4 linked regions of the Saccharomyces cerevisiae S288C genome follow. The protein of the gene in region 1 interacts with the protein of each later gene in a biochemical or structural test. Each region holds a gene or a part of one and is shown on either strand. Other genes may lie near its edges. The genes, in order: MCM3, PSF2, PSF3 and CDC7.

The links.
Region 2: the proteins of MCM3 (region 1) and PSF2 form a complex in vitro, tested with the Saccharomyces cerevisiae proteins (4 studies listed by BioGRID).
Region 3: the proteins of MCM3 (region 1) and PSF3 form a complex in vitro, tested with the Saccharomyces cerevisiae proteins (3 studies listed by BioGRID).
Region 4: of the proteins of MCM3 (region 1) and CDC7, one has a biochemical effect on the other in vitro, tested with the Saccharomyces cerevisiae proteins (2 studies listed by BioGRID).

The regions. Positions count from the first base shown.
Region 1 is NC_001137.3:82,595-92,000, reverse strand, and holds MCM3 (MCM DNA helicase complex subunit MCM3), read right to left. Parts: upstream 5,065-9,406; coding exon 2,149-5,064; downstream 1-2,148. Other genes in the region: ion-transporting P-type ATPase SPF1, read right to left, coding at 1-1,743; MTC7 (Mtc7p), read right to left, coding at 5,403-5,822; HYP2 (translation elongation factor eIF-5A), read right to left, coding at 5,852-6,325; UTR5 (Utr5p), read left to right, coding at 6,456-6,956; ANP1 (Anp1p), read left to right, coding at 7,449-8,951; RAD23 (Rad23p), read left to right, coding at 9,398-9,406. UniProt on the Saccharomyces cerevisiae protein: Acts as a component of the MCM2-7 complex (MCM complex) which is the putative replicative helicase essential for 'once per cell cycle' DNA replication initiation and elongation in eukaryotic cells.
Region 2 is NC_001142.9:303,038-310,152, reverse strand, and holds PSF2 (DNA replication protein PSF2), read left to right. Parts: upstream 1-4,290; coding exon 4,291-4,932; downstream 4,933-7,115. Other genes in the region: YJL070C (metallo-dependent hydrolase superfamily protein), read left to right, coding at 1-2,182; ARG2 (acetyl-CoA:L-glutamate N-acetyltransferase), read right to left, coding at 2,297-4,021; JEM1 (Jem1p), read right to left, coding at 5,035-6,972. UniProt on the Saccharomyces cerevisiae protein: Functions as part of the GINS complex which plays an essential role in the initiation of DNA replication by binding to DNA replication origins and facilitating the assembly of the DNA replication machinery.
Region 3 is NC_001147.6:46,006-49,948, forward strand, and holds PSF3 (DNA replication protein PSF3), read left to right. Parts: upstream 1-2,858; coding exon 2,859-3,443; downstream 3,444-3,943. Other genes in the region: SPT20 (Spt20p), read right to left, coding at 1-1,569; PEX11 (Pex11p), read right to left, coding at 1,928-2,638; CTR9 (Ctr9p), read right to left, coding at 3,550-3,943. UniProt on the Saccharomyces cerevisiae protein: Functions as part of the GINS complex which plays an essential role in the initiation of DNA replication by binding to DNA replication origins and facilitating the assembly of the DNA replication machinery.
Region 4 is NC_001136.10:422,274-427,294, forward strand, and holds CDC7 (serine/threonine protein kinase CDC7), read left to right. Parts: upstream 1-1,935; coding exon 1,936-3,459; downstream 3,460-5,021. Other genes in the region: ERP3 (Erp3p), read right to left, coding at 560-1,237; trans-2-enoyl-CoA reductase (NADPH) TSC13, read right to left, coding at 3,729-4,661. UniProt on the Saccharomyces cerevisiae protein: Serine/threonine-protein kinase. Needed for the initiation of DNA synthesis during mitosis as well as for synaptonemal complex formation and commitment to recombination during meiosis. Required for HTA1-HTB1 locus transcription repression.

The sequences.
Region 1 (9,406 bases):
TTGAAATCTACGGATAATATCCAATTTTCCGGTGCCCTCTCTATAGTTACTGTTTTTTCTTTCGACAGCCCAACCAACAGCCTTTAAGGTCGCCTTTTCCATTGGGTCACCAACAATATCACCATCTTCCAATTTAACTAAAGCGTGAGCAGCACCAATGACAAGAATTGTACTTTCTGGTGCTTCGGCAGCGCTGTACAAGTGACGAATGTTTTCGGAGTCCGCAGAGATACCAGCTAGACCTTCAAACACAAGATCTTCGCCGGTCAAAGTACCAGTTTTATCGAAACAACAAACATCAATTCTACCAGCAAATGGAATTCTAAATGGTTCAGTACAATAGACATAGAACTTGGCAAGGGCGGCCAGAGAACTGTTGACAGCCATGGTCAATTCCATTGGTAACTCAGGAGGAACAACAGATGTAATAATTAATATACAGTCCAAGATCAATTTGGATTGAATTCTACCCATTTTTGTACCCTCAACCCAAACGTACCAGGATGCAATAACAGCGAAAATCAACAAGAAAAGAATGAACATCAACGCTTCCTTATTATCGACGGAAACACGTTCAGCGGAGTAAATCATAACTCGAACTAAAGAACCCTGAGATGTTTCAAAGCCAGTTTTGGTGACGATGGCTAAGGCACCTCCATCAGGTGGAGGAGGGATATCCGATTTATGTTCAGGAGGTGTTACTTGTAATGCCTTTGTACCACCATGTAACACAGCAATCTTGTCAACACCGTCCAGTTGTAAATTATCTTCACTAGGACGTAATTTAATGGATTCCTTTAACAAGGGAGTAGATTCACCTGAAAGCATTGCTTCATTAACAATAGCGGAGCCATCGAGCAAGATCAAATCGCAAGGAATTGCGCTCTCCTCGGCGGTTCTTGTTATAGACACTAAATCCATAGGTAACAATTCATTGGTTTGCAATGCTACCCATTTTTTGTTTCTAAACACGTTAATGGTATAAGGTTTGATACCCATAGTTCTAAATTCCTTCAAGGCAGTTAATCTTTGAAATACTGCAGCTGCCTCCATGGAGATAATCATGAATAAGTTAAACAAAGAATAATACCAGAACTCATCCAATAGCCATAAGGCAACACAGAAAACTTGGAAAACAAACAATGGCGCAACAGCGTGCTCTTTGAATAATTCCATAAATGTTGGAATAGGAATATCAAAACTATTCTCACCATATAGTCTCTTCAAATGAGTTAGGTCACCGGAATGGCCCTTACATTTTTGGAAATCACCGATCTTTGGGGATTCATCAACAAGGAACTTTGGTGAAGAAAATACCTGCTCATTTTCATGCCACAAGAATCTTTTCTTTTGAAATTGGAAAAAAGTCTGCAAAGAGCCCGCTTCAGTTACTCTCTGAATTTCAACGATACCATCAGAACCATTATTTGGAGTGGTGTAGATGAGAATGTGAGTAGCTTCATTGACATTTTTAGTAGTACTGTAGTTGAATTTCGCCTTGATCTTGACATTCCAAGCAGGCATTAACATGACTAGGATGTTCAAGGATACCAATGTCCCCAAGTAGACAAAAGTCCACTCAGGTCCTTTGATGTAACGATCATATTGCTGGAAATATAGTTGGGCAAAGGTAGCGTATAACGGGAAAAACGGTAATACGTACGGCTTTGCTATTAATGACTTTGGTACCAGCAATGTCGAGTCCCTAACAATAGGACTGCTCACAAATGATTTCTTTGTCATTTACCGATTCCTATGTTTCTGTAGGTCTGATATGTCAACTATGTCTAGAGCTAAAAGCTTGCTAAAGCTTCATGTTATATGGTGGAAGAGACATTGCCACTTGGCTTTATTCAGAACACGCGAAGAGGAAGAGAAACGCGTAACGTATGGCGTGACAAGAAGCCACGAATGAGCAAGTAAGATAAGCCAAAGTATCACACATATTCATTAACAGAAGATATAGTGCCCCATAACTGCTTACAACACATTCAAACAAAAGAAGGAAATAAGCGTTTTAATACATAATTCTTTAATACACGAATAACAATTAATGAACTAAATAATCTGGAAATGAACTGAAAATTATGAATGACAAAAAGAAAAAAAGCCAAGAATGGAAGTCTTTTAGTAAACATTCCTGTGACATCAGACTCTCCAAACTTTATCGTCAGCAACCATTAAGTTATTTCTGTCCGACATGATCTTCAAACCTGCTAAATATTCTTGAGCGGAGAATTTTTCCTCCTCCGGTAGTTCTTCGTTGATTCTTTCGAACAAAGAGGCCACAGGATAGGATTCTTCTTCAAATATTTCTGTTTGCATCAGACGCGCAATAATACCTGAGATTAAAGACAATCTACCAGTAGAAATGGTACCAGGCTCCACATTGTCAAAAGAAATAACTGACTGTTGTTGCTCATCATCCTGACCTGCAGAAGATACGTTAGGTAATCTTGGAGTACCGACCTCGGTAAGAGGTCCCGACGAACCTTCCTCAGGTGCGTGAAGATGTTCTCTACGTCTTGGAGACACTCTCAACCCCAGTTGAAGCCTTCTTTGTAATTCAGCTTCCTCATCCGCAGGAAGCGGTGACATTATATCGTTATCGTCTTCACCAGCGTTCTGTTCGTCATCTTGAAAACGTAATATTCTGCGTGCTGACGATGGCGTGGCATTAACGGAAGATGCCGTTGACCTTCTTGGAGTAGATTTGATTGGGGATCCAGAGTTGCTTGCTGGTTGTCTGACTCTTTGTCTTTTTTTCGGTGATTTCTGTGGAGACCTCTTCGACAAAGCTTCTTCGTATTCACTTTCCTCTTCATCGATATCATTGCCGATATCCTCACCCAATAGTGCAAACCTTAGTAGATTGGCAGCCACTTTAGCATCCACCTTGTTGACTGTTTTGGATAACCTGACTTTGGCGTGAGCTGTGGCTAATCTGATCAAAGTCTCCAAAGTTCTTGCAGTAATGGGCGATTTTTTGGTATTATCATCGTTTCTTAAATCAGTATAATTTTTCACAATAACATTGATGGCTTCTTGTGTTAACTGTGGAATAACCCTTTCCTTGGCATATTGAACGTACTTTCTTAAGAATGGGATGGTGACTAGCTTTGGAATTTCTGTACCGTTATAGTTACCTTTGTTTTTTGCTAACTTAGCACCTGCTTGTAATAAGGGGTTGAACTTTTCGAAGACATGGTCTTCATCATCTTCTCCTTCATTTTCTACACCAGCCCCGGAGTTGGAATGCTCTTCAGGATTTATATCTGCATCCTCCCCAACGGCTAATGATAAATTCAAACGCTCTCTCACAGGTTCACCCTCTAAATAACCTGGAGGCAAATATCTGTGTGTTCTTAAGACATGCTCACTAATGGATCTATCTCTGATTTCATTGATATCGTCTGTCACAACAAATAGTAAATCAAAACGAGACAACAGCGAGTCCGGTAGGGCAATGTTTTGGTGTGGATCTCTATTGACATCGTACTGCCCAAAAACGGGATTTGCGGCAGCAATAACACTACAACGAGCATTTAATGTTGTGTGAATACCTGCTTTGGCAATCGTCACCGTTTGTTGTTCCATTACTTCATGAATGGCGACTCTATCCACATCTGTCATCTTATCAAATTCATCAATACATACAACCCCGCGGTCAGCAAGAACCATGGCACCAGCCTCTAGTCTTCTTTCACCTGTTTCCCTATCAGTAGTGACCGCTGCGGTCAAACCGACACCGGAAGAACCTCTACCAGTAGTAGCAATTGCCAGTGATGCTGTATTCAACACAAACCTTAGCAATTGGGACTTGGCAGTGGATGGATCACCCACCATTAGGATATTGATGTCACCTCTTAAATGCGAGCCATTTTCTAAATTTTTCTCCACACCTCCCATGAGCATCAATAAAATGGCTTTCTTTATATGGTCATGTCCATAAATAGAAGGCGCTAAAGATTGAGACAAGATATCGAAAATGTCCTTTTTTTTGGATAGTTTATTGATATTTCTTATATCGAAATCTGTCAACATTTGTCTCGCAGCGACACCCGTGGATCTGGCGTGGAGAGGATACACCGTATTACCTAGGATCAGAGTTTTGAACCCGATCAATGTATTAGAGTTGGACTGGTTCATGCCACCAGCACCAAGCGACTTGAATACCCCGACAACGTTAACTCTGTCACCTGGCTTGGTCTTGTCCACAAGGTCGTCATCGAGAATGACGTCAATGGACCTGGGAAGTTGGCCAGCGGGGGCCATTTCGGGCATTTCTTGCACAGTGATACGCTGATGGTCTATGAACGTACTATACCCATATTCGGTGGTTAGTTTGTTACCTTCAGTGTCCTCCGTTGGATAGATGGCAGGCGTTGGGATGCGGGTGGTGAGAGTTGTAGTAGCATCTGTATAATCTCTGTAATGGAATCTACCAGTCTTTGCCGCGTAGTGGACAGATCTGATAAGCTTTGGCCTGACCAACGAAGTCTTAGTTACGATACCCTCAACAGAGACCAGTTTGTTTAAATGTTGTGCCGTTAGAGTACGAGGAGACAATGCGTGTGCACCAAATGAGCCTTTGAACGAAAGCTTCCAAGGATGGCGAGACGATACTGCAGAGGCATTGGGATGTGGAACATCGTCCATGGAATCTGCTAGGTCAGTAAGCGCCTTTTCGGCAGGCGGGATGAAGTATGCTGGTTCGACTAAAATGCCCGACCAGAACGACCTGTCGAATTCTCTCAAGTCATCAAGCGAGATGATAATCCTGTGAGGGAGTATATTCAATGAGGTGGACGATGCTGCTTTCTTTTCCTTTTCAAGATCATCACCGTCGTCATCACCTAGCAAATCTCGTTCGTCTGCGTCATCTTGATCATCGTTGTAGTTGGCCGCGTTATTGCTGTTGTAAACTTGTATGGACCTTACAGAGTCTCTGTATGAGGTGAAAGTATCTAAAAACTCTTGAAATCTGCGCACTCTGTCACCAAACACAGCGTCTGGAGCGAAAAAAGTAGTAGCGTCTCCATCAAATCCCGTTGAGCCTTCCATAATTGACGTTTGTATCTTTTTGGTGCGCTTATAGTGGAGTTCAATACGAGCAGTAGGATGAAAATGCTTCAAGGAAAAGAGCGTAGGCCTTTTCAACTTGAAAGAAGATTAAGAACCTATCTTTCGAGTTTTGACCAAATTTTTCTTTTTTTTCCTAAAACACGAGTTTTTACCCATTTAGGAAAAGTAATTGTTTCTTCTACCGCCTCGATCTGACGAACAAGGGAAATTGAAAAAAAAGAGAAAAATAACGACAACTGCAGGACTCGAACCTGCGCGGGCAAAGCCCAAAAGATTTCTAATCTTTCGCCTTAACCACTCGGCCAAGTTGCCATAACTCATTGAAAATTCTGTTTCCCACATAGGTCAAAACTAATATTTCCCTTGGCCTGCTCTTCAACCTCCCCCGTTCTGAGAGTTCCCTTTTTTTTTTTTTTTTTTTTTTTTTGAGGGGGAAGCGCCGGATTTGCCACCGACCGGCTGCTTGCAGCCGGTAGATATGCGCACATGAAAATCATCCTCCCCAATGAATTACACTGCCTGCATAAGGAAAAAGAAAAGTGTGAAATACGAATAAAAACAAAGTATATTATTGCTATATAGATGATAAATAACAAAATAAATAGAAAATAAAAAAAAGGATTTATTTGTGTATGCTTTAGGAGAACGAAAAAAAAATTGCAAAGAAAAAAACCCGGTTCAGCGAAGAGTACATGATGTGATGGAAGGGGCGTCGGAGTTTTTTTTTCTTTTTTCATTTATATCCCATGCCATGATGTTAACCGGTTTAATCGGTTCTAGCAGCTTCCTTGAAGGAGATGGCGGCTTCTTCACCCATAGCGGAGATGATGGTAACCATCAAGTCCTTACCTTCATCAAAAGCAGTTTGCAAACTGTCACCCAATTCACCTTCTGGAGCCTTGACATCATCCTTAGTGTCACCGTCCATGTTCATCAAAGACAAGAAACCGTCATCAATGTCCAACAATTGGTATTCGTTTCTCTTGACAACTGGAACTTCCATGTTGTGAGTAGATGGAGACAAATCTTCCAACTTCTTACCAGTGAAGATATCAATGGCAACCAAATGGACTTTAGCGTGACCGTGCTTACCAGTCTTAGAAGTGGACATGTCGACAATCTTACATGGTCTACTCTTGATGACAACGAAACCGTTCTTTCTCAAGGCAGAACATTGCATTGGGTAGGTGGCGGAGGAACCAGCGTCAGCAGTTTCAAAGGTATGTTCTTCGTCAGACATTGTATATATGAGTTGGTATTTGTGTGTGTTTGGGAGTCTATGAGTAATTGGCTACAGAAGTAGAATCGTTAGAAAGAAGGAAAGGAAGCAATTGATAGAAGGAGAGGAATTTAGGAAATGAGGGATTCCAATGTCAAGATATGGCAAAAACCTTGTGCATTATATAATCGTGGAACACGACGATCAACGCGGCCAAAAGCCGATCGACGACGACGACGAAAAAAATTTTTATTACCACTGTTCCTTCACCTTCGAAACTTTTTTTCGGGCGACGGCGTTTCTTTTAGCTCCTGCGGTATGTGCGGTGCGGGAGGTCCCTTGTCGCCTCACACGGACCCGATATAACGCTACGGAATACATCGAGGGGTATGGGTGGATGATATCACTGCAGCAAGGTCTGGGTGTTGCAGAATTTTACCGGCCTTGGCCCCTCAGCGTCCAGCTACAGCGTTATACTACTCCAAGTCGCCGTTCCCGTTTTGCTGTTCTCACCCCTCAGAGAAAATGCCACCAGAACGAAGCCAATGGTCAGGACTTATCGTTACTTATACTGTTGAGCCGGATATATCCGCTGTGCTCTAATACCAGCCAAACGAGAAGGGTAGCGGCAAGAAAGGGTAAACTTTCATGATGAAGTTAGCTAGTTCCTTTTACGATTGCTACTATCTCGTTCAACTTGGCCTGCGCTGTTGATGAAAATAGCAGTGACTGCAGAGAATAGAAATGAACCGGGCTCATCTGGTCTAGTTGCCTTCTTTTTTTTATTTTTTTTCATTTTCCTTTTCTTTTCTTTTCTTTTCTTGTCTCACTATGTTGGTTTAATCAATTCGTAATCCCTTTACCAACGCATTGTGTTCAATTTTCCTCTTGTGTGGGGTCGCCCGCCTTGTCTCATCGTGAAAAAATTGCGTAAGATGAAATCATGAAAACATGAAATAAAAAAAATAAATAAAAATAACTACACGATTCAAAAACGCCAAGATCTGTTAGTAGAGACAGCAAGCATTGCAAAACCATTCATCACTCAGTTGCTAGGCGAGTGTTGGTGCGATTTACCCTCATCATCTTTTTTTCGCTCCATTAAACAGTTCCTTGTGGCTTTCATGCAAAGTGTACGTCCATAATGAAGTATAATAACAGAAAACTCTCGTTCAACCCTACCACAGTAAGTATCGCTGGAACGTTGCTTACGGTGTTCTTTCTCACAAGACTCGTGCTTTCGTTCTTCTCGATATCGCTATTCCAGCTGGTAACTTTCCAAGGAATCTTCAAGCCCTATGTTCCAGATTTTAAAAATACTCCCAGCGTAGAGTTCTACGACCTACGAAATTACCAAGGCAACAAAGATGGTTGGCAACAGGGTGACCGCATCTTGTTTTGCGTGCCACTGAGAGATGCTTCTGAGCATCTTCCCATGTTTTTTAACCATCTGAATACCATGACATATCCGCACAACCTGATTGATCTGTCGTTTTTGGTGAGTGACTCTTCGGATAACACCATGGGCGTGTTACTATCCAATCTACAGATGGCGCAATCGCAACAAGACAAGTCCAAAAGGTTTGGTAACATCGAAATCTATGAGAAGGACTTCGGCCAAATCATTGGTCAGTCCTTTTCTGATCGTCACGGGTTTGGCGCCCAGGGCCCCAGAAGAAAGCTGATGGCCAGGGCTCGTAATTGGCTTGGGTCCGTGGCCCTGAAACCATACCACTCCTGGGTTTACTGGAGAGACGTGGATGTCGAAACCATCCCCACTACCATCATGGAGGATCTAATGCATCACGACAAGGACGTCATTGTCCCCAACGTCTGGAGACCTTTACCAGACTGGCTGGGAAACATTCAACCCTACGATTTAAATTCATGGAAGGAATCAGAAGGGGGTCTTCAATTGGCGGATTCCCTAGACGAAGATGCTGTCATTGTGGAAGGGTACCCAGAGTACGCCACTTGGAGACCTCACCTGGCATACATGAGAGACCCAAACGGTAATCCAGAAGACGAAATGGAATTGGACGGTATTGGAGGGGTCTCGATTCTCGCGAAAGCTAAAGTATTCAGAACAGGCTCACACTTTCCTGCATTCTCCTTTGAAAAGCACGCAGAGACAGAAGCATTCGGTAGGCTCTCCCGCAGGATGAATTACAATGTCATCGGCTTGCCCCATTATGTCATCTGGCACATCTACGAACCTTCCAGCGACGACTTAAAGCACATGGCTTGGATGGCTGAAGAGGAGAAGCGGAAACTAGAAGAAGAGAGAATTCGCGAATTTTACAACAAGATCTGGGAGATTGGATTTGAAGATGTCAGAGACCAATGGAACGAAGAAAGAGATTCAATCTTAAAAAACATTGACTCCACTTTGAACAATAAAGTCACTGTAGACTGGTCTGAAGAGGGAGATGGCTCGGAGCTGGTGGACTCAAAGGGTGACTTTGTCTCACCAAACAACCAACAACAACAACAACAGCAACAACAACAACAACAGCAGCAGCAGCAACAGCAACAGCAACAACAGCTCGACGGCAACCCGCAGGGGAAACCTCTTGATGACAACGACAAGAACAAGAAAAAACATCCTAAAGAAGTTCCATTAGACTTCGACCCTGATAGAAACTAGGCTCGGTTTTTTAGTGACCTACATATGAAGTACGAATTCATATAGTTGTACATATATACCGATAATAATATCAAACCTCTATTCTTTGGTCTTTAACTTTTCTTTGAGTGAATTACAATACCATTGTTATATCAATCACTATACACGGCTCGGTGGCGAAATTGAAATTTTTTTATTTTCTTCTCTTTCATTATGGCTAGGCAAGAAATAGCGACAGCAAAACTTAAGAAAAAATGATAGAACAAGGTCCCATCCAGTATTGACTAGTAGCTAAAGCTAGAAGGTACACTTAGGTTTTTCTCCCTGTTTTTAAGTTTGAACCATTGATAAGGCCGTTCGCAGACAAGCTTGCTACCATCCAATTTTCCTTCCTCTAAAGACTTAATAAAGGCATCTAACTCCACCTTTAAATCACAGATCACACAAAGACAACATACAATAGAAAAATGGTTAGC
Region 2 (7,115 bases), on another chromosome or scaffold:
GCCAAAGTTTTGGAGATTTGAAGACGATAAACGATTCCAAGATCCCTCTGACTCTGACTTAAATGACGATGGAGACAGTACTGGGACCGGAGCCGCTACACCGCACCGCCATGGCTACTATTACCCAAGTTACTTTACCGATCACTACTACTACTACACAAAATCTGGTTTGAAAGGAAAAGGAAATATAAAAGTACCATACACCGGTGAATATTTCGATTTAGAGGATTACAAAAAACAATACATTTACCATTTAAGTAATCAGGAAAATACGCAAAACCCACTTTCACCTTATTCTAGTAAGGAGGAGTCACTAGAGGAAGAATTTTTAACAGATGTGCCTACGTTTCAAGAATTTAGGGATGATTTTGCATACATAATAGAGTTAATCCAATCTCATAAATTCAACGAGGTTTCACGAAAGCGATTATCTTATTTATTAGATAAATTTGAATTGTTTCAGTACCTAAACTCTAAGAAAGAAATTTTAGCTAATAAAAATGTTCCCTACAGAGATTTTTATAATTCTCGTAAGGTAGATCGAGACTTGTCTTTAAGTGGTTGTATTTCTCAACGTCAATTGAGTGAATATATATGGGAGAAAATAAATTTAGAACCTGAAAGGATAGTTTATCAAGACCCGGAAACGTCAAGGAAACTCAGTTTGAGAGACATTTTTCAGTTTGGTTGTTCTTCTAATGACCAACCCATTGCGATTGGGTTGAAATTGATTGATGATGAATTCTTGGATTGGTATAGAAATATTTACCTAATAGATTACCATCTAACTCCTAACAAAGTAGCAAAGTTGGTCGGCAAAGAAATGAGGTTTTACCTATTAGCCAAAGTGTTTCTGGAGTTTGATAATTTCATTGAAGGTGAGTACCTAGCAGAAATTTTCATAAAATACGTTATTCATATCCTCGAAAAATCAAAGTACCAATTGGCCCAAGTATCAGTTAATTTTCAATTCTATTCCAGTGGTGAAGACTGGTACAAGAAATTTTCTCAATGGTTGCTACGATGGAAGCTAGTATCGTATAATATCCGCTGGAATATACAAATTGCCAGGATTTTTCCCAAACTATTCAAGGAAAATGTCGTGTCAAATTTCCAGGAGTTTTTGGATCTTATCTTCAATCCTTTATTCACTCTGGAAAAGGAGCAGTTACCAATAGATTCATCTGTAAATACTGATATCATTGGTCTGCAGTTTTTTTTATCAAATGTGTGTTCTATGGATCTGGTCATTAAAGAGTCGGATGAATATTACTGGAAAGAATTTACTGATATGAATTGTAAGCCAAAATTTTGGACAGCACAGGGTGACAATCCAACTGTTGCGCATTACATGTATTATATTTATAAAAGTTTAGCGAAAGTTAATTTTCTGCGGTCACAAAATCTTCAAAATACAATCACCCTAAGAAATTATTGTTCTCCACTATCCAGCAGAACTTCCCAATTTGGAGTGGATTTATATTTTACAGATCAAGTTGAATCGTTAGTGTGCAACTTACTGCTTTGTAATGGTGGTCTGCTACAGGTAGAACCGCTTTGGGATACTGCAACAATGATTCAATATTTATTTTATCTCTTTCAAATACCCATTTTAGCTGCGCCATTATCATCTGTTTCATTACTGAATTCGCAAAAATCGACCTTTTTGAAGAATAAAAACGTGCTTCTAGAACATGATTATTTGAAAGACCAGGAAACAGCCAAAATCAATCCTTCTAGAGATATCACTGTGGGCGAACAAAGATCATATGAGACAAATCCTTTCATGAAAATGTTTAAGATGGGACTAAAAATTTCTTTATCATCAAAATCGATTCTTTACAATAGTTCATACACGCTAGAACCTCTCATTGAAGAATACAGTGTAGCAGCAAGTATTTACTTGCTGAACCCAACAGATTTGTGCGAGTTGTCGAGAACAAGTGTGCTATCTAGTGGCTATGAAGGTTGGTACAAGGCTCATTGGATTGGCGTTGGAGTTAAAAAGGCGCCTTACTTTGAGGAGAACGTGGGTGGGATAGATAATTGGTACGATACAGCGAAAGATACCTCGATAAAGCACAACGTTCCGATGATTAGAAGAAGATATAGAAAGGAGACATTGGATCAAGAGTGGAACTTCGTTCGGGATCACTTTGGAGTAATTAACTCCATTTGGTAGGGTAAAGTGAAATATCAACAACTTTGCATAGTAAGATATATATATTTATATAGATACCTTAAAAACTGAAAATGAAAACTTGAAAGTTAAGGAGGAGGAGAATGCGTCTTTGTTTCATGAAATATTTTTTTCATTTTCCCAACTTGGCTTGATGTCCCTGACAGACCTCATGAATTCTCTTAAACGTTTCTTGTCACGTAGTGCCCTCTTAGCGTATTGAGGGTTACCGTAGTAAAATAGTTTAAATTGGCTTTGCTTTTCATCACAGTGTTCGGGGTCTAAGTCAATCGACAAATCTAGCACAGCAACGCTACGTTGAAAATACCACTTGTTCACCACATTGTCTTTTCTGCTTCTCCAAAGTATCTCATTAGGAAATTTTTTGAACATCAAATTGAAGATTATATCAGATATACCCAGCGAGCCTTTCAAGTGTGGTAGAACGGCGAACTTATCGAGATAAACAAAGGAATTTTCCTCCGAGCCTTCATAGGTAAGAATTGCAATGCCTTCATAATCACCTATCACAATAATTGTAGCTATTTTTCCATTAATCCTTTTTATGTAGTCATGCAAATCCAAAGATCTTTTAAAGCTCTGATCGATGATGGATTTAAATTTGTTGATATCTAGTTTTGGACTATTGCTCGAGGGTTTTGCTCCTTTCTCAGGTACGTGAAACTTCTTTGGAAGCCCAATTGAGTTGAATTGAGTCAGCGTCTTATAGTCATAAGTTTTGATATGGACGCCCTTTTTGAGAACAGTTGTCACTAAAACTGCATCTGAGTTAGAAGGAGCTGCATTTACCTGTTGGGAAGGCAATTCATACCATGCGTGATCATCAAACATGTTGGCTGGTGAGTCTATCTCGCCGTCCTTTTTTTTAAACCTTGGTAAAGAAGAAGAAATTAGCGATCGGTCTGTCAATAAATTATATACTAAAGGATTTTTCCTATCTGATGATAGTGCGGCAGCTTTGACAGTTGTAATCAGTCCCGTTGCTGTAGCCGCTAGATTTGATAAAACTTTGTCCATCAATAACAGGTTTTCTAAATGATCATGGTATTCACATTCTAAGGAAGATATCTCATCTTTTTTAACGTACACCTCCATTCTGTGTAACAGGTTTTGGGAGCGTGGCTCTCGTTTGGTTAGAGTGCTTATATTGTGAGATAATGACGAGGACAAATGCTCGAGTTCCTGAGAAAGATTGATGAATACATGAGCGTTATCATTTCTCTCTCCCGAAGGTATACCTCCGGCATTATTTAGAATGAAGAATTTGTCAATGTGTGGAATATTCCCTTGGCACAGGCAATCCATAAATTTTACAACATCCTTTGTCATGAATTCTGAAGCAGTCTCTTCATTATACACATAAGGTTTCACAATTGGTATAAAATTGGAATTTCCAATATCAAAGAAACGACTCTCTTGCGAAAAAACAGAATGATATAACCCAGTGCGGGATTTAGTAAGACCCTCCTTAAGGTGAAGTGGCTTTAAATCTGCTTCTGTAACGATACTGTCAAGTAACTCTGCCTGTATATTTACATGAGTTGGCGACGGCGGAATTACAAACATAGGTCGCAAACCTAGCATTCCTAGTCTCTTTATGACACTTGAAAACTGGGACAAAATCGCTGGTGCGACTTTATGCAGGTCCCTGATAAAAAACAAACAATGATTATGCTGCCCACTATCATTTGTATATTTTGAGAGATAATCCTTAGCCTCTCGTTTTGTAGCGGTTGTATTCAGAACTGAAAGGATCAAGTTTTTTGAAGATGCATTGGGTTGATCATACTTGAGTTCATGCGCGAATATTCTCCTCCACATGATAAAAGTAACCGACTAGTGTCCTAGATTGACGGTCCTAGCTTCAAATGTGTTAACTTTCACAATTTATGTCGAACGTGCTTATGACTCCATGGGAAGATCAGTGATGACTAACCTTTTTTTTCTCCAGCGTGAAATTTCTTGTGATATTTTCCATTTAATGAAAAATCAGTCGCCTAAAGTGTAACTATGAAATGGTTAACAAAAAAGAGTTTTATACTTAGAGAGGATCAACGGCTGATCTGAAATAAGACTAGTTTCATAGACGCATGTCACTACCGGCACATTTGCAGCAGACTTTCTCACCAGAAGAAATACAGTTCATTGTGGAAAACGAGCCAATAAAGATTTTTCCCAGAATAACAACACGCCAAAAAATTCGTGGCGATGATAGAGGAACTGGAAACCACACCCGCTGGCAACTTATTACTACAGATGACAAAGCTTTAAATAATATGGTAGCCATGCGTTCTACAGAAGTGGTTCTTTGGATCGCTCTATTACTGAAGCAACAATCCAAGTGCAGTATTGTAGCACCACAGTGGTTAACGACGAAAGAGCTTGATAGAAAAATACAATATGAGAAAACTCATCCGGATAGGTTTAGTGAGTTGCCGTGGAACTGGCTTGTCTTGGCACGTATACTTTTCAATAAAGCTAAGGATGATTTTCATGACCCCATTCACGAATTACGTGGTAAAATACAAGACTTAAGGGAAATAAGGCAGATCAAAGTGTTAAAAGGCCTTAAGTATTTGAATGAATCTCATTTACAATTGGATAATTTAAGTCTATTAGAAATCAATGAGTTGAGGCCGTTCATTACTGAAATCATGGATAAACTGCGAGAAATTCACACAGCATCTCTTACCGCTGGTACTGAAAATGATGAAGAAGAATTCAATATTTAAAAAAGTGCTGGCTTTGCAATAATTAGAACTTTCAGTGATATGCGTATGTATATATATGTACTTGTTGTGGTATCCTAGTTAATGGGCATAGAATGTATTTCATCAAAGCCCAAAATTCATTTTAAAGCCATTTCCGAATGGGAAGCCACTTCCTGGATTTTTGAACATGTTATTTTGCCTAGGCCCCTGAGGAAAAGTGTTGCGGCGGGGGTTTGATCTGGAAAGATCGTATTCCTTCCTTTTATCGTCATCACTTAATGTTTCGTACGCTTCATTGATTTGTGACATAGTTTCGTGAATTGATTCTTGTTTGTCGTTATGGTTGGCCTTTATTTTGTCTGGGTGGTATTTTTTGGTTAAATTTAAATATGCTTTCCTTATTTCTTTCGAACTAGCACTAGGCGATACTCCAAGAATTTTATAATAGTCCTTTTTTGGGTCGTAGTTAGGCGCTGCTGGGGGTGCTTGATGTCGTTGGTGTTGTTGCTGCTGTTGTTGTTGTTGGAAATATTGCTGGTTGAAATTCCGATGTTTATGCTCTTTATAGGTTTGTAATTGTTTCTGTAATAATCGGAAGTTCTTCATCACGTATGGATTGGTCGACTCTGAGAGGCCGTTATCTTGGAAAAATTTGTTTATCTGGTCATATAATTGCTTTTTGAACTGTGAATGAGGTTTAGACCTACTTTTATTAAGTATTGAGTTTACCATATACATCAGCAAATGAGGATTGGAATTCCATACATCACTCAATACCGTCTCAGGTAAAGGTTTTTGCTCGGACTTAGCATCCTGATAGTGTTTCCATGTTTCTAGTGTTAGTGAATGCCTCAAACTCTTTTTACAGAACGGCGCAGCCAGTTTAGCTCTCTTGACGTCCGGACTCATGCTAGAAGCCTGACAAAGAATGGAATCAATGTATACTAGATAATCGGTATGATAGTATGATTTTGGTTTGACAAAACCATCGGTTATTGGGGGATCTTCGAATAAATTTTTTGCCAAAGGTCTCGACAGTTGAACGTCTTCTATCAATTGTTTGATAATTTCCTCTAAAAAGAAGTAGTTGTTTTTAAAGTTTGTATCTTTGTTAAGAATTTTCATTGGTGTAATAAATGGCTTCTTATCCTTCAAATAAAATTCAATAATTCTATCCCAACTTCTAAACTTTTTGTTCTCAAATGCATATGTTGCTGGATCCAGGATCTGTCTTTTTGATGGATTCACCTTGTTCAATTTGGAAATAGTCAGGCTTAGTTTTTTACATTTATCATAGTCCATATCAATGGAAAGGCATTTTCTTATATTGAACGACGCATCTGAGTTAAGTACAAAGGTCTGTAAAACAGATATGACATAATGAATCGAAAGTCTTGTATCTATGCTTAAGCTAGCCAAATGCTTGTCGAGGATTGTTTCGTAATCCAAAATGATAGCAGCAGCTAACGAAACGTCAATTTCTTCAGCTAGTTTGTGAAAAAGAACATCGATGTGCGTGGAGAGGACGTTAACATCGTACGGCGTTATGCGTAGCAGCTCAGAAATATCTTCCTCCACAGAAACGTCTTTGGATGATATTTTGTTTCTGATGGTTTCATTCAAGGACAGATATTTCGCATACTGATCATCCTTCTGATGCACCTTGTCCCACATCCCAAAATCGACATACAGCTCTTGTAGCCTCTTTTCCGCCAGCTTCCCAAAAGAACCTTTGTAAGTTTCATTAAAAACGATTTTTTCAAATGTGTTAATAGCTCTTAGATGTTGATCGTTGGATAATTGGATCAGCCCAATTTTGTAGTATATTTGATTGGCTAGTTGAATTACGTCTGACATATTTTCACTTGCTGGATCCGCAGTCATGCAGTTTTGTTCCAACTGCCCAGCGATCCATTGGTATTTTGGCAAGGATTCAGTGTCTACTTTTAAATTCTTGTTCAATCGTTGTAACTCAGCCAAATCACATAACTTAGAAGCCGATATCAGTACTGGCAAAATAACGCTATACACTAAAAGACAGTATCCCGAGATCAGTATCATACTTCGTTTCGTAGACGTTAAGATCGGCCTTAGTAATACACTAAACCAACAATGAATGAAACCTTCTGGGCCCTTCTCGCAACCAACTCCTTTCACTTGGAATAACTTATAAGCAGTTTTGGCTCTATTTTTGCCTGCCATCG
Region 3 (3,943 bases), on another chromosome or scaffold:
TTGAAGTAGCTGTTGCTGTGGAGTCAATGGTGCTGTCATCGATATTCTAGCGTTGAAGGGGGTTGGATTGATGTTTGCACTTAAAGCCTGCTGTTTTCTTTTTTCTTTATTTATTCTCCATTGTTCAATAAATTTCAGCCTGCTAAATTGATTATTATCGTTACCCATGGTAGATCCCACTGCAGCCGCAGCCGCTGCCGCTGCCAAAGCTACTTGATTGCCATTAGCCAAACTGTTATTCCTTGTATTTGATGCGGAATTCGAAGTTGAGGACGAAGCTCCACGTACCCCGTTGGAACTGGAGCTAGCAATCTCCATCGCATTCTTGGTTAACGAAACAGCAAACGTGGAGTTGGTTATCGTTGTTGTGCGTTCATTCATGATCAACATCAACTGTTCATAATTTGAACTATGTTGCGGAAATTCATCGCGTTCTTCGATATGCCCTACAACGCCCTTCGTGCCTTCTCTCGTAGACTCAGCACGATGTTCGTGAATGAAGGATTTTTTTTCACTATCCCAATGAGGTTCTGAAAAAGCTGTTTCCTCCAACATGTCTCGGTGCTCATATGGATTTAATGGCACACTTAGTGACAAGTTCCTCTTGGTAAGTGTTAAAATTTCAGATTCAAACTGTTGATAAATGCTATCAGAAAACCTGGCATTATCTGCATAAGACATCATGTCATAATACGTCGTCAAATCATTAGGCTTCAACAATGTTCGATATACTCTAGGTCGTTTGAAGGATGCCTTCTTATTTGCTGTGTTTGCGCCTGTATTTGCCACACCACTATTAGGTTCGGATGGTTGTTGAATCTTGGAATTGTCCTGTGTGCTATTATTATTTGAAGGGGAAGAAGAGCTGTTCAAATTAGGCTTGTTCTCTTTGGGGGTGACATCAACTGTATTAGTATGGTCATAAACCTGTAAAATAAGATTTCCTTCGTAAAATTGGATATTACAGTCCCTTAAGACTTCCATAATAGCATCAGGAATCCTTCCTCTTGCGACGTACTCTAAAAATTCTTTCAAAGTTTCGTTATTTTTGGTTAATATTAAACCGTCACTAGTCAGCTCGGGTTGCTTTTGCTGCTGTTGTAACCTGCTATTTGCAGGAGCGCAAATCTTATAATTATTCTCATAAATATGAAATTCAAAACTGTGTAAATATTGCTCATATTTTTTCAAAATTGAGTCTGCATCTTCCACAAAATTGTAAAGTCTTTTAGGTCTTTTGTTTAAGGTCATAAGCATTTGATAAAACTGAGCCTCATAGTTTTGGAGTGCTTGCTGTTTTCTCTGTTGTTCGAGTAGTCTTTGCTGTAGTAATAATCGTTGTCTTTGCTGCAATTGCTGTATTTGCTCCCTGGTTAAAGTCCTAGTACCTTCATTGGCATTACTATTACTGTTTGTCCTCATAACAGGATGATTTACATTTGCTACCGCTGGGTTCATAGGAGGTGGTACATTAACTGGACTGCCTGGCGAACCCATATTGGATGGTGTTGCGTTCACAGGAATACCAAATACATGGGGATCGTTTCCTGTCGGGCTATTGGCACTCATCCCTGAAATATATAGGCGCAAATTAACCGTAACTATTCCTTCCTAATCCTCTTGAAGGCTACTTTTCTCATTCTTTTATCTCTGCTGGTCGATCATCTTAACACTTCTTCATGATTAATGGTCGTCAGGTATCACGAGCGGGTAACAGAACTAAGCAGTTATAGCGATCCCAGTTTTACTTTAAAGATAGTTAGTTAGTTATTAATGGTGCGGATAACAAGAACTATTGTCACTCAGAATCTTATACAGGTATGGACATGGAACATTGGGTCATATACATAAGAAATAAATTATAAAGAAGGGTCGAATCAAACATAAGCGGAGAATAGCCAAATAAAAAAAAAAGATGAAAAGAAAGCTATGTAGCTTTCCACATGTCTTGCATACCAAGGATAGATGTGACAACACCGGATAGCGCAACATACTCTTCGTTGCTAGACAAGTACCCTAGGTTGTTGAGGACGATGAACGAATCTGCAGCATCCCAGAATAGTCTTCTTAACGCGGTGTACCTGTCTTGGTATGCCTTCCCTAGTACCTTCTTGTGATCCTCATGCTCATCGCCTTGGCTTTGTGATTTTGCCTTGACAAACGCAGCAATCTGGGCATGAGATGTTTGGATCTTACGAAGATCCATAGCCAGACCACTTAGGAGGCCGAACAGCCAACACCAATTGGACCAGCGAGGTATTTTCTTACCGGTAAGAACGGTTACAGGAATCACTTTCAAAATTCTCAAAAGATTGACTTGATCTAACGACAAATATGCAGCAAAGAAGATGTTTTTCAAAACATTGCAGACTCTAACGACGTTGTCGCTGGCCAACTTGTTATCGTAGAATTTAGCAGCTGCCTGCAAGTGGTTTAAAGGCTTCAGAAACCTCAGAAATTTTCTGACTGTGGTAAATTGAGCTTGTAATTGCCTGGCCAAGAGAGATGAGTTCTGTACTGCTAAAAATCTTGCTAAATACTGCAGTAATCTGAGAACCTTTTCTCTGCCAGCTGAGCCATCTAGAAATTTGACGAATCTCGTCACGGAGGGATGATATACCAGTGTATCACAGACCATATTGATTATACTATTACTTGATGAAGTCTTTGAAGTAGTAGATGGAGACAACGGTTTTTCAGTTGTTGGAGTCACTTCCCTTTTATATCTATAAATGATATACCCATCGCTTCGGGTTCTCCGAGATAAATGCCGACGCGTAGTGAAAATCGCAATGGAATTGATGCCAACTTTGTTCTTGGTATTATATTTTTACAATAGAAGGGCAAGCATAGAAAGGATGGGTTACTATGACATTGATGATGTCCTAGCAGATGGGACAGAGTTTCCTTGTAAATTTCAATATGATATTCCTGGTCTTGGTTATTTGGAAAACAACCCAGGACGACCCATAACGAAAAACACTAAACTAAGCCTGCCACTATGGTTAGCAAGAATCCTTGCAATTGTGGGTGGTGACGAAGCCTTGGTAGATGAAGAACCTGTACCTTTTGTGGAACTCCTGCCACCAGATATGTTTTCTACGAAAGTTATGAACGCTATAAAGACCGATCCGGTGGCTCTGGACTTGCATTCCATAAATTCGCATTTCTTCAGTCTAGCCATAAAATGGATAATGTTGTTTAGCGAAAAAGAACTGGCCAATGTCGTTAGTGAGCTACTTTTGCAACGTGCCCAAGAACTTAATCATCATGCTAGTAGTTTATCGATTGATCTCAATGCAGACTCGACCGGAAAAAATTCAGCGAACACTAATATAGCAACTAGCACATTTTTACTGAAACTAGAAGAAATGGAGAAGGAGATATATAAAAAGTCTCATGAATCTTATAAGGACACGAAAAGGTGGATGTTTAAAAAATAACACATCTTTTTCTTTAGAAATACACTATATAAAATAACTATAAAAAAAAGGCAACAGTATAATATTAAGTTTCTTTAAAAGTCTTGATTCTAACCCTCGCCTCTTCTTAGAACAATCCGTCGTTATCATCATTATCATTGTTTTCGTCGTTGTCATCGTTTTTATTTTGTTCCGAACCGCTCATTTGAGCTTCTTCCTCATCACTATCTTCAATAAATTCATTCGATAGTTGAGATTTTTTGCCCTTATTGTGAGAAGGCTTTTTCACCACATCATCGTCATCCTCGTCGCTGTCGGAAAGAGTTTTTTTAGCAGCTTTCCTTCTCTTAGATTCACCGCTATTTTTAGTTTTTGTTGACCTCTTTCTTTTTTGTCTTGGCTTTTCTTCGTCATATTCATTGTCTTTATCAGACAGATCTGAATCATCTTTAACATTATGTTCACTTATGGCCATGGCTTCTCGCTCCTGGATTAACTTTTGTGCCTCATCTTGTAGTTTC
Region 4 (5,021 bases), on another chromosome or scaffold:
TTCTGGCTTAACAGTTTTACATTTAGATATCTTATAACTATTAAGGCTTTGGGATAGCATGTTCAATCTTGCCTGTAATGCGGATTGACTCTTTGTAAACAATTTTACAAGATACATTAATAGATGAATCGGCAATTTTTCTTTTTCAAAGTTGTGTTATATCCTTGTATTTTCTGGCACACTTGCTTATCACTTCTTTCACTAAAAATATAGTTTAACACTCCAAGAGGAATACCATCCCCAAGCGAGTTGATTGACTGCAAGTGTAATTAAATAGGTGGAAATTGCATGGTGCATATGCCAATGGCTAAGAAAAAATTACTCTTACAAAGATTATTTTGTCAATTTCTCGAAGAAAACAATGCTACATTTTGAAATAGGATTTTTTAAATCGTGACATGTGCTTTAATAGAAACGTCACTTCAGCTCTGTCATTACATAAGATTTAACATGAGCAAAAGGGCTATTTTGGATACGGTATGTCATTCCTTTCCCCTATTAAATATGAAGAACATATATTCTCAAGTTGATAGAAAATGCAGGAACAATACACAACTATTTACACATTATGCTTTCTCGATTCTCTGAAAATGAACTCCAGTATGGCAATTTGAGCGCAGCTCATTCCGATGATTAATAATATGCCGTAAATAGAAAACATTACAATTCTATGCTCTGTTGAACAAACGGTGTGATGATTTCTGGTGTTTCTGCTTTTATAGTACTGTATATTACGTTCCAAAACGTGGAGCTGCCTTTCTATGGTGTCTATAGAATTTTCCACACTGTCTTGCAAGGGATCGGTTTTAGAGTCTCTCAGGTTTCTCTGCGCCTTTCTCGCCTTGCGTCTTTCATTTCGAATATCATCTTGGCGTTCACAATTGTACTTGAAGTCCAGATCAACAATCTTGTCGTGTGCTTTACCACCATAAAAGCAGATAGCATATTCTCCCTTATGTTGGCCTATAAATGACCATTCACCTTGACGTTCACCAGATCTCTCGATTATTGGCTTGTTTTTGTCATCAGGAGCAAATATTTCGTAGTTAACATCAAAGTCATTGCTCTCTCCTTGCTGTACTGCAAAATAATATGAGATTGTACAGTCAATTTCCGGAGTTAGCGTATATAAGCACTCCTTTCGACCTTTATTCAGTTCAAATGTCAACGGTGATGCCTCAGCAAAAAATTGTGCTAAAAAAAAAAACTGGAAGAAAAGTACACATAAATTGGACATGACGGAGTTTTTTAGTCAGTTCACAGTGTCCCTTCAAGTACGGTAACTATCAAGAGCCTTACCAGTTTCTGTCAAGATATTGTCCCCCCAAATTCTTTCATTGAGGAGAGGATTATGAAGAACGCGTTCTGTTTTAAAGAGAGAAAAATTCAGGTCAGGACGCGTTGGTCTCACCTTTGTTGACATAATGACCATGACAGTGTAGGAAGTCTAAGTAGTATGTGGAAACCTACGCGATCATACTGATACGTTCGTAAACTTTATCAACGAACGACGCTTTTTTTTTAAACCTCTATATAAGCATGTTTTTAGCTTGGGAAATTAAGGTGTAGCCCTGGTTTTGAAGATAATTAAGAATCTAATGGGGCAATGCTTGTGTAGATGACATTTTATAGAGTAAAATTACTTCCCGTTTAGCTCGATAAACGCCTTAGGCCTACATAAATCTTAAACATTTGTCCCCGGTCAGCTTTTAAATTATGTCTTCTTTGCCCTGGGGCGTCTTCTTGAACGGCATCAATTTAGTGAGTAGAAGAGCACTTCACATTTCCGCCTAAAATCAATGCAAGAACCATTAACAAAAAAAACCGCTCAGCAGGCGTAACGGGAAGTAACAGACTACCTTAAATTTTCAATAACAATTGTGCTATTATCTAATTTTCTTAGGAAAGAGGCAGTTTCGAAGTAGAACAATCATAATGACAAGCAAAACGAAGAATATCGATGATATACCTCCAGAAATCAAAGAAGAGATGATACAGCTCTATCATGATCTACCGGGTATAGAAAATGAATATAAACTCATAGACAAGATCGGTGAGGGAACATTTTCGTCAGTGTATAAAGCCAAAGATATCACTGGGAAAATAACAAAAAAATTTGCATCACATTTTTGGAATTATGGTTCGAACTATGTTGCTTTGAAGAAAATATACGTTACCTCGTCACCGCAAAGAATTTATAATGAGCTCAACCTGCTGTACATAATGACGGGATCTTCGAGAGTAGCCCCTCTATGTGATGCAAAAAGGGTGCGAGATCAAGTCATTGCTGTTTTACCGTACTATCCCCACGAGGAGTTCCGAACTTTCTACAGGGATCTACCAATCAAGGGAATCAAGAAGTACATTTGGGAGCTACTAAGAGCATTGAAGTTTGTTCATTCGAAGGGAATTATTCATAGAGACATCAAACCGACAAATTTTTTATTTAATTTGGAATTGGGGCGTGGAGTGCTTGTTGATTTTGGTCTAGCCGAGGCTCAAATGGATTATAAAAGCATGATATCTAGTCAAAACGATTACGACAATTATGCAAATACAAACCATGATGGTGGATATTCAATGAGGAATCACGAACAATTTTGTCCATGCATTATGCGTAATCAATATTCTCCTAACTCACATAACCAAACACCTCCTATGGTCACCATACAAAATGGCAAGGTCGTCCACTTAAACAATGTAAATGGGGTGGATCTGACAAAGGGTTATCCTAAAAATGAAACGCGTAGAATTAAAAGGGCTAATAGAGCAGGGACTCGTGGATTTCGGGCACCAGAAGTGTTAATGAAGTGTGGGGCTCAAAGCACAAAGATTGATATATGGTCCGTAGGTGTTATTCTTTTAAGTCTTTTGGGCAGAAGATTTCCAATGTTCCAAAGTTTAGATGATGCGGATTCTTTGCTAGAGTTATGTACTATTTTTGGTTGGAAAGAATTAAGAAAATGCGCAGCGTTGCATGGATTGGGTTTCGAAGCTAGTGGGCTCATTTGGGATAAACCAAACGGATATTCTAATGGATTGAAGGAATTTGTTTATGATTTGCTTAATAAAGAATGTACCATAGGTACGTTCCCTGAGTACAGTGTTGCTTTTGAAACATTCGGATTTCTACAACAAGAATTACATGACAGGATGTCCATTGAACCTCAATTACCTGACCCCAAGACAAATATGGATGCTGTTGATGCCTATGAGTTGAAAAAGTATCAAGAAGAAATTTGGTCCGATCATTATTGGTGCTTCCAGGTTTTGGAACAATGCTTCGAAATGGATCCTCAAAAGCGTAGTTCAGCAGAAGATTTACTGAAAACCCCGTTTTTCAATGAATTGAATGAAAACACATATTTACTGGATGGCGAGAGTACTGACGAAGATGACGTTGTCAGCTCAAGCGAGGCAGATTTGCTCGATAAGGATGTTCTCCTAATATCTGAATAGCAAAGTGATAAATTACTGCTAGTCTGAAATAATTTCCTTTTCTTTGGAAAGAGAATTTTAAAAGTACTTACATATTTGCATAGTGAAAGATTTAAATAAAAATTTCTTAAAGTGAAACGGTTTAGCATAATTGGTGGCATGCGCTTAAGATAGTGCCAAATACCAAAAGGCACAGGTGCAGACGATACTTAAACAATAGTGCTACTACGCCACTTCGTGAAAGCTAATATCTCTTTACCTTGCATTTGGGCATGTTGCAAACAGGAGGATCAAAATACAAATGGAATCAAGAATGCTCTTCTGGTATGATACTTTTTGTTTTTCTTTTGAGCCCATGCGTACATTTGAGCTGTTGAAACAGTCAAAAATAAAACGGCAAATAAATTGAACTTGAACACAAAAGTAAACCAAATCCAAGACCAAACTTCAAAAGTATAGTTGGGAGCAACAAAAAGATTGAAAATACCTTGATTCAATGGGACACGGATCTTAGCGTTACCATGCTTCTTTTGATAGTCACCCCATAGGCGCAATTTAATGTGGCAATAAAAGTTCCATAGTTCTGAAAGCACGAAAAGACCAATTAATGTACTCAAGTCATCCAATTTCAAATATGAATAGTATTTGAATAACTTAGCATTCCCAAAGGGGAAGCCGTAGCCAAAGTAACCGAATGAAATGAGACCGCTTAGAACCCAGTAATGGAAACAATTTTTGAACAGGTTGAAAATTGGCATAGTAGCTAAAGAGAATTGGTGAACAAATAAGGTTTCAAATAATCTCTTTCCATAATGTCCTAAAATTAAAAAATATGCAACCCTGTTTAAAAATGGATTATAGTCGGAGCTAGCACTGTGCCATCTATCAACAACTGTGGGAATGGTAGATAGATAATAAAAAAGGGAGTGAACCAAGACTGGACCCAAATACTCACAAAAGAAGACTAATCTCCATGAAATTTGGGGACCCAAATCTTTGATGAAGAATTCCATTGAGTCATCAGCCTCTTCTTGAAAAAACGATTCTGAAATAACCGGAACTTGTTTAGATTCCTTTTTGTAGGTTAATCTTATCCTGTACTTGCTGATATTGTGGTTATTAGCAGAGATTTTTTTCAAAACATCATCTAAAGTAGGCTTTTTGGATAAGTCAATTTCAGTGTCCCTTAACCCTTTAGAGCGGCTTTTTATGGTGATAGGCATTTTCAAATTAAATTCAAAATATGTATCTCTCTCAAATAGCTCAATTGGTTTCTAGATAGCTAAATAGAATATAATCTTACTGTCCTCCGTTCTGTAAAATTCACGCTCTTAGTCCCTTTTCATAATTCCTTAACTTTTTGCGTACAAAATGATATGTTTATTATATTTTTCTTTTTTTTTTTTCAAATTTTTTCTTTTTCTTGAAAAATTTTTCAAATTGGAAAGCTCATCTCTCTTGAATGTATAATACTTTCTTCCTCTAACTTTCAAAAAGTTTTACATAGCCAAGAAGTTTTCCTTACATCGGTATACTACTGTTATATAAGTTATTCTTCGAGAAACAATTAGATATCATTCATC